Danio rerio: one gene and its partner. The protein of the gene in region 2 interacts with the protein of the main gene of each other region in a pairwise test. Links are inferred from orthologs where the notes say so. Each region holds a gene or a part of one and is shown on either strand. Other genes may lie near its edges.

Region 1 (4,373 bases), on a different chromosome or scaffold from region 2:
CACTAGCTCTAAAGTACTGGCTTCTGCTGTTCTGACATCAGCTGCAGATGTGAATGAATGGCGGAAGAAAGTAGTTCCTAATAAAAAAGGGTTTGTAGACTCTCTTTGTTTGATTTTATTATTTATATGCACAATTGTGCCATTGAACTGTTGTATAAACGTAATATCACACAAGATATGGCTGTATATCAGCACTGCACTGCTACTTGTGTGACATTGCTCATATATATATAGTTTGTCTAAAATGATGTACACAAACTATATAGTATACTATACTAGCGCAGTCGTCCCTCCATATTAAAAAGCAACATTTTGTGTCTGCCGATTTGTTTACTTCCCGCACGTTAATTCCTACCAATTGAAAAGTAGTTCAGGAAATATGTTTAATAACATCTGGCCAATGAGTGATGTGCATTTTGGTTCTTTTCAACTGGTTTGGTCCAAAGCAATTAGTGTGGTGTTAAAAGGACCCAAAAGCGACAGAAAAATGCTACAATGTATAATTTGTTGCACTTGGTCTGGACTAAATGGACCAAACCACAGATGTGAGATCAGTCTTTGATTTCTCTAGAGTGTGTGAAGTTTCAGCTCCAAATACCAAATAAATAATGTTTTATACCTCTTTGCCATTTTTTAGGATTTGATGCTAAGTGTGCCATTTTGGTGACTGTTGCTTTAAATTTAAATTAGATTGTGCTTTTTCAAAAGAGGACGGAGCTACAAATGCCTATGTGTCAGCATAGTGGCAGATTCAAAAATAAGACTAATGTCCTATGCTAATTAGGGAGAGATTGTCACTAATGGGCGGGGGTTTCCCCCTGTAATGACACATACAAATGGAGTGTTTCCGCAGAATGTTTTTATCATGTGCGATTATAAAAAATGTAATTAATACATTTTTATCTTTAGAAGCTTATATTTAGGCTGTTGCCAGAAAATGGTGTTTAAACCCTTTATAGAAGTGATTTTTGCACAATAGGTTCCCTTTCAAATATATTTTGAAGTATTACAGTGCATCACAGCTCCTGCATTCACACCAGACAGTAGATATCTGTTTGCGGTATAAACCGCCATGAAACAGACAATCAGAGCAGAGCTCATCGACATTCTTGATCCATCCAAATGGTAAAAACAGACCATTTAATTTTAGTGACAACTCCTAGGGTTTTAAATGGACATGTAAATGAATTTCTGCACTTACTAAAGCCACATACCTTCTATTTAGTTATCAGTGATTTTATCAATGCATTCTATGGTACCTTTAAGCAATAGAACTAAAACACAGCTTAAGGCACCCTCTCAGTCACACTTCCTCTTTTTACAGACACGCAGCCTCCTTCCTCCACACTCTGAAAATAACTGAGAAACGAAACCATGCGGTCAAACCAAAGCCTTTGTTAAGCAAAGTGATACATGCTCTAGGTGCCATGTATTGTCTTTGCCTTTTGCTTTCTCAAGAATATAACAATTACATGAGCACTTTATTCCATTTCCCTTTGCGTTTCACGGAATAAAGAAGCTTCTGAGGGCAGAAAGAGAGACGGTTCACAGAAAGGGAAGGGGAGGTTGGAGTTCTGCTCTCAGAACCGGAAAAGATGCCCAAAAACACCCCGAGCCCCTCCACGGCACCCAAGTCTTACCATTGAGGCTGAGACTATGCTGGATGGTGGCGTGGAGAGGGGGAGGAGGAGGAAGAGGCAGAGGGAGAGACTGCAGGGATGCCCCCATTACGCTCACTAGGAAAGGCCCAGGCTGCGGCCCACCTATATCGTCTGGAAAGAGAGCAGGAGGGAGGGTTCAGAGCCAGGATGAGAAGGAGGAGATGGTACAAAATAAAAGCAATGGAAGTGTAGACAGAAGAGAAGGTTAAGGTCAGGTGCCACGAATGATGAAGAGGAATCTGAATATGACCGAATGCAACCCTAGTGTGACAACAAATAGGACGACAACAACATTTATTACTGCATACGAGCAATTCCAGGCAAATATCAACAGTTTCCACCAAAATAATGAAGGTTGTCAATGTTTTCAAATTATTTAAATTGATTTACCAAAGTAATATTTGCTGTTTGTTCAAACTCCTTATTTAAATTGAGCCAAAACAATACTATTCTTGAGGTTTATTTGGATGGGCAACTTAATTGTTTGGTGCTCAATCCACCTATATTAAAAAAAAAAAAAAAAAAAAACGATTAAGGTAACTTAATTCCTTCATATTGCCCTAACATAAATACATTGTGTGAAACCCAGCATTTTTTACAGTGTATTAGGGTTGCGCCTTATTGGAAAAAAAAATTGACATTGTTATATTTTGTTTCTCAACACTATGCATTGCAATATGTAATATATTTCACCAGATGGATTGAAGAACTCTTTTTGAGAAGAATTCCCTATTTCAGAATATTTTGGGTGATTTGTATAGGGGATTGCTGCTGCATACATTTTTAAAATGATCTTTAAACTAGCTTTCTAAGAGGGAGGGGGTGCTTTATATTTGTCTGGTAAGTCCTAATGCCAGCACAAATATTTACAAATCTAATGTAAAATGAGACTTGGCAGTCCTTCACTATAAAAATGTAATTATTGATCTTTTGTATGACAATACAAATAAAATATTGAGAGGTAAACAGTAATGTAACGTCCATTGTTAATCCCATTCCCCAACCTCTCATTCATTAACTCAATTAACAAAACAACAATAAATAAATATATAAATACCAAATTAAGTACATTAAAATACATAAGAACATGAAATCAGAGAATAACTGGATACAGATGGGAAAAAATAATAATAATTAAAATAATAATATTAATAATAATAAATAAAAACTAAAATAAAAATGGTAAATGGTTGCCAGCACCAGGTGTAATAGGCCGGCCTTTGATGTAGTCAAGAAAGGAATCCCTAGTCTTATAGACCATTTCCATGTGTCATGTCATTGACCCATGATCATTTCCTGCTTGTTATCTAACTATTTCATAACTGTAACTGTTACGATTGACCGGGTGGATGGAGGTAAAGAAGTGTCATAGAAGCCGCTGGTGAAAGTGAAGAGTGATTTATTTATACAAAGTGAAAACAAAAATCCAGCAAAAAAAAGGTGAAAGTGGCAAAATAACAATAAAGAAAAATAAACTATTCAATATTTACAATGTTTGTACAGGCTTGTTCAGCTAAATCAAGTAAATGACCTGAACAAAATCTGCTACCAATACTGACACAAACACAACCTTCTCCTACAACTAATCACACCAAGTAAATGTTTGGGGCCATTTTATTGTATTGGCCCCGCCCATGGGTTAAACCATTTTACTGGTAGTGGGTTACCATGTAGACAAAAAAATACATAAAAAGACATTCAACAGAAATATAAATTAATGCAAGTAAATGAATATGCATACAAAACTCAAAATACAACACAACAAATAACCAATACAAATTTAAACAACAAAACTTTGATTTTTATTTACTGACCAGGGGTTGTGACCCTGATGATGTTATGGAAAATGGCTGCTCCAAAGTGAAGGCGGGAAAAATCTGTATAAATGGCTTTGTTATAAAGTTAAAGAGGTTTGTAGCTGAGAAAAGGAAACTGGTAAGTATATGTAAACTCTCTATGTTTGGTTAATAAATGAAGTTTGAAAGAAAATGTGTCTGTGGTTATTTCAGTGTTGATATGGGCTATTGTTCGACATAAGTGAAATTTTTACATAAACACAATGCTAATCTTGACAGAAAAACAACATATACATATTACACAAACACACATGCACAATACAAATAAAACAAAGGCCCATGTTTAAAAGTGTGTATTTTATGTATGAGTGCAATGTGATGTGTGTTTGTTTGTCACAGTGTCTTAGTTTTACACTGTGACAGTAACAATAGGCAATTCAATCATAACTTAATGTTAAAACGGCTATCATAGCATTATTTATCAATTTGTGGCTCTTTTTGGATTCTCGAAAGCTAAAGAAATAAAAAAATGTAAAACAGGAAATACGTTGGGGCCATTGTTTTTGTTTACATCCTTCAAAATGGTCTATAAAAGAAATCTAGTGAGCCAGAGGGTGAGCATCTCAACTTTTCAAGTCTGATACAGTAAAAAATGTTCTGCATCCACTTGTCATGTGTAGGGGGGAAGTGTGTTTCTACTTTAGAAATAGGGTACGCCTGGCTAAAATTGTGGTAAAGGCAACAACCTTGCTGTCACGGACTGTCAAATCAGGTCCAAGGGATACTCCAAAGAGGGCTAGCAAATGATCAGATTCTATATTGATTTTGATGGCTTTATTGAATGTATTTTAAAAATGTAATTTAAGTAGACTTTGTTATACAAGTGCTATGGTTTCTTGTACCTGCATGGTTTAAA
Region 2 (5,081 bases):
GTGTATTTTTTTCTCTTATCAAAAGCCTTTCTTTTTTGTTTCGAATTGATTTTGTACTGTTGGGGACTTTGAAATTATTGAAATTATGTTCCATATTGATTTGGAACTGTAATAGGGTCAAGATCTGCCTGGAACTACTTTTTTGTTTATGCAGCCACGTGTTAAAAGGCACCTATTTTACCCCTTTTTCAAGATTTAAGATAAGTCTTTTGTGTCTCCAAAATGGGTCTGTAAAGTTTCAGCCCAAAACACCCATCAGATTTTTTAATATACCATTCAGAATATTGGAGTTTTCTGCTCTGCTCTGTGGGGTTTTTTTGTTGCCTGTGCACTCAATGATTATTTTCTGTATTTGTTGCTAAGTTAATTTAAGCCTTTCTGCAATGATGAGTCATACACAATGTCTTTATAAAGTTCACACACACACACAGTGAAAAAAAGTTACTGTAACTTTGCACTTTTTGCACGGCAACTGTGACAGGATACACGCTAATGTACAATATACAACGCTGAATAGATATCTGATATATTATTTGTACAAAATAAACCTGATTTAATGTCCACAAATTAGGATTTACTTTAGAAATTTATTGATATGCAGCAGTGGTGATAGAGACGGAAGAATCACTCTAATTCATTACAAACATGCAGTTTTGAAAAGTTTTAAACTTGTAAAACTCATTCTTGATCACTTGATAATGACTTGATAATGATTGATAATTACAGCGAGCAGTAACAGTCCCAGTTGCTTTGAGCACACCCTGTCTTGTTGATATAAAACCCAACAGTCAAATATCAAATGAAATGAGTGTAGTTAACTCAAAACTTACTGAAAGTTAATTCTACTTATTTGAGATATTTGAAAGTTTTGAATTCAGTGTTGAAGGCAATGAGTTAATTACGTACCTCATTACTTCAACTTAAATGGAGTAAGTTAACAGTACTCACACAGATTCGTTGTGCAGAGATCGGTTTCCTCAAACGGTTTGAGTTACCTTAACTTATTAGGTTTTACAGCTCTCAGTTGGTTTGAGTTTTCATCATTTATTGGGTTTTACTTTTCTCAAATTGAACTCAAAAACTCAAATAAATTAAGTTTAAAGTACTCAATAGGATTAGTTTTAGAACTAAAATGGTTTGTTTCAATCTGTTTGTTGAGTTAATTTATTCGGTGTTACAGTGTACGCGTTACTACAGAGACATGTTAATGCGCAGCTGTCAATCAATTAGGTGGGTGGGGAAACCACACTTCTTCTTTCAAACCAAAAGCATGGCAAAGTTGCATAAGCTATCTACTATGTCCCGTGAATCAATTCCAAATAATTAAATCAAATCTTCTATTGCACTCAATCTGTTCCACATACCAATTATGTGCACCTCTGAGTATAATGTGACCACCTGCTGGCACAGGGATCATACCTTGCAACTTTTTGTGAGAGACATTTCAGAGCATATTACTTTGGTGCAGATCCTGAATCATTTCTATTTCAACCGAATACACTGAAAATGAATGTGACTGAACAGACAGGTAATGGAGGAGAAGAGCAGGTTTTAACTGGTGGTGCAAGTATAGGGCTTAGTGCTGGGGATTATTATTGTGCCTACTGTAGCCATGATATGAAAGCAAAGTTCCTTGAATTTTGCTCTGGATTTAGAGTATAGTTCCTAGCCTGGAAAACAGCAACTTTTCATTTTAATTTTTGGTCATAGTGTATGATGTAACTACAAAAGAGTCAAGCTTTAAATAGGGAAACTTATGGAAAATAGGAAACGCTTGTCATTTTTGATTGAGAAGCTAATGGTCTGATTCTATTCAGAGATCTATTTTAAGCTAAACCGAGCTAAAAGTGTTCCTGCCAGACCCAGAGATGGGGTGAATAGATAAAAAATTGGTAAAACCAAAAACTCAAGTCAGGAGCCTCATGTTATTTTGTCTTTGAATTCAGCATACTTGAAACCCATGCTGTGAAATATTACCTTATGGCCACAAAAGACTGACTGGCTATTCAAACTCTCTTCAGTGAAAGCAGCCAAAAGTGAGCCAGGCCTCTGCACATTGTCTGTAGGTTACCACAGTAACCCTTGTCAACCAGGAAGTCCTGTGGAGGTGGAGTGAGTGGGAGAGGGAGAGTGCATGTGTGTGTCAGTATGTGAGAGGGACTTAACAGAGGTTAAGCAGACGGGTGCAAAATCCAGTGGGGAAGGGAGAGAGAGAACTGACTGTTAAAGCAGACCGAGACAGAGAAAAAAAAAGAGAACAGAAAGAGTACAACTTGAAAGGTTAATTTCTACGAAGCAGACCAAACAGCACTTTGAGAATTGTGTGTGTCCTGGGAAATCTGTTTGTGGCAGTACTGTCAGAACACACCCACACAAACTGGTGAGTTCACATGTCTTCCATCTAACAACCATAATCTTGTTACTGTAAGTTTCCTAATGTAAAATACTGTTTGTGCACATAAACCAACTTATTAATTAATTCAGTTTTTTTTTTTTGGTCCAGCTGTGGCAAGGCAGGTTTGTGCTAAATGTTGTGTTAGTCACACATTACTGCTGAAGTTGATTCTTAACTCTCTTTGAAAGGATTAAAGGTCTTTGGTGGGATTTTAATTTCAAAGCAGTGGGAAATAGTATAAATCCAAATCCAAAATCTGTATTCTTCTGGGTGAACGGGGATTTTTCTGTAATGTGGTTTCAAGATTTGATATTTTAGATTTTATTGAGACAGCTTGGTTTGTTGGTTTGCCTGTTATAAATTTGCCTGTTAAGAGTGGTGTAATTGTGTTTATTTTATTAAAATAGTTGTACTATGACCTTGAAATAATTAGGTGTTTTTTAATGAATTAAGATCCACAGGATAGAAAAAAAAACAAACTATGAATTATTTTGCACTTTTATTCTAATTTGTATTATGATGAAATGTTTTAACATAAAAATAATCATTAACCTAAACAAGCATTTAATTATTGATTTGGGATGTGTAATCGTTAAAATTATGTAAACCATAAATATTACAATTATTAAAAATCTTGTATAAATACAGTCTAAATTTGTATGTATAGTGTGTAGGTGGATTTGATTACTCTCTTTGTAAGAGTGTTACATAATAAAGATTTGTCTGAAATACATTATTCTGATTGGTCAGTTGTGACATTGCAAAGTAAGTTATTCCAAAATTACAACCACAGAATAAAACTGACCAGCTTTGTTTTTTGAAAATTTGGGGCCATCTTGTGACTGAATAATGTGCTGGTGTGTATATGCTCCATTCAGCTTCAATTAGCCGTTTTTGCTTCTGTCAGCTTTGTGTTTATTTAAAGATTTAATTAACTATTACAGCTCAGAACAGTGCTTTGTGCTTATTAGTATTTTGGCAAGAAGCCATGTGATAACTGAAATAAAGTATATGCAGCAAAATATTTTGCAGAATAAAGCCCCTTTAGACTTATCCAAACTAGTTCTCTGTAACTCCCTCATGGTCACTTACTGAAGCGACAGTAGGCAGGGCTGCGTCTGATCAGTAACTGGATGGGAGACCACAAGGGAAAACTAGGCTGCTGCTGGAAGTGGTATTAGTGAGACCAGCAGGGGGCTCAACCTATGCTCTGTGTGGGTCCTAACGCTCCAGTATATTGATTTGGACACTATACTGCTCAGTGAGCACCTTTTGGATGAGACGTTAAACTGAGGTCTTGACTCTGTATGTCAGGGGTGTCCAAACTTGGTTCTGGAGTTTAGCTCCAACTTACTGCAACACACCTGCCAGGAAGTTTTTACTATATATAGTAAGAGCCTGATTAGGTGGTTCAGGTAGAGCTAAATTCTCCAGGACACCGGCCCTCAGGGACTGAGTTTAGACACCCCTGCTCTATGTGGTCGTTAAAAATCCCATGATCCCATGAAAAAGAGTAGGGGTTTTACCAAGGCATCCTGGTTAAATTTGCACAATGGTTTCTGTCCATCTTGGCCTCCTAACCATCCCCATAGAACAATTGGCTACATCACTTGTCTCCTCTCCACCAATCAGCTGGTGTGTGATGTGTGGTCTCAAAATGACTGCTGGCGCATCATCCAGGTGGATGCTGCACATTGGTGGTGGATGAGAAGATTTCCCACAAAAAATATGTAAAGCGATTTGATTGTGTAGAAAAGTGCTATATAAATGAAAAATATATATATTGATAGGGACACTTAACTGCTCAGTGAGCGCCTTTCGGATAAGACGTTTAACTGAGGTCTTGACTCTCTATGTCAGGGGTGTCCAAACTTGGTTCTGGAGTTTAGCTCCAACTTACTTCAACATACCTGCCAGGAAGTTTCTACTATATTTAGTAAGACACTAATTAGGTGGTTCAGGTAAAGCTAAATTCTCCAGGACACCAACCCTCAGGGACTGAAGATTTGACCCCAAAAATGTGTAAAGCAATTTGAGTGTCCAGAAAAGCGCTATATAAAAGTAAAAAAAATAACAACCCTTCATGTTGGGCTGCATTTTTTTCAATTGGTGATGAAAACAGATAAAGTTTTCAAATCTGTAAAAGGTTTTTTTATTATTATGAATATACATAATTACTACAAAACAGTGCTTTTCTATAAATTGAAGAAACAGTGAATGCTTTCTGATGATGACAGAATGTCTTCTGTTGACATCACTGAAAAACATGGTAGAAAAAGAGCTGAATCTTAGTGAAAACTGACCTCACAATCATGAGAAAAATATCGGCATATAACTTGAAAATGCTACTTTTAAATTATGCAGCTCTGTTTGAAAACAAGTGTTTTTTTATCTTTATGAAACAAAAGTAAAGTATAGACTTTCCAGTCTGTCCTCATTTGCTTTAAAGACTTCCTACCATTCAAATGCTAATCACAACCTTGTAAACACCCCAAAACACAGAGGACACTACCATTTTGAAAAATAAATATAAAATATATAAGAAAATATTAAAATTTCATTCAAAGAAATGCAACCTTGGTGAGTAGAAGAGACATTTTAATAAAAAAAAAAGTGGAACAGTGTAAAATTACACTTTTGGTTAGTGTTGTTGCAGTTGGGAAAACTAATGTTTGTTTTGGTAATT

What was found. The genes of interacting proteins can lie anywhere in the genome.
Region 1: the proteins of sorbs3 (region 2) and socs7 interact in binary tests that used the Homo sapiens proteins (3 or more experiments, as listed by UniProt). The link is inferred for Danio rerio from reciprocal best matches to the Homo sapiens genes SORBS3 and SOCS7.

Annotation. Positions count from the first base shown.
Region 1 is NC_133186.1:12,501,896-12,506,268, forward strand, and holds part of socs7 (suppressor of cytokine signaling 7), read right to left. Parts: intron 1,773-4,373; coding exon 1,641-1,772; intron 1-1,640. UniProt on the Homo sapiens protein: Substrate-recognition component of a cullin-5-RING E3 ubiquitin-protein ligase complex (ECS complex, also named CRL5 complex), which mediates the ubiquitination and subsequent proteasomal degradation of target proteins, such as DAB1 and IRS1.
Region 2 is NC_133183.1:45,280,498-45,285,578, reverse strand, and holds the start of sorbs3 (vinexin), read left to right. Parts: upstream 1-2,106; 5' UTR 2,107-2,380; intron 2,381-5,081. UniProt on the Homo sapiens protein: Vinexin alpha isoform promotes up-regulation of actin stress fiber formation. Vinexin beta isoform plays a role in cell spreading and enhances the activation of JNK/SAPK in response to EGF stimulation by using its third SH3 domain.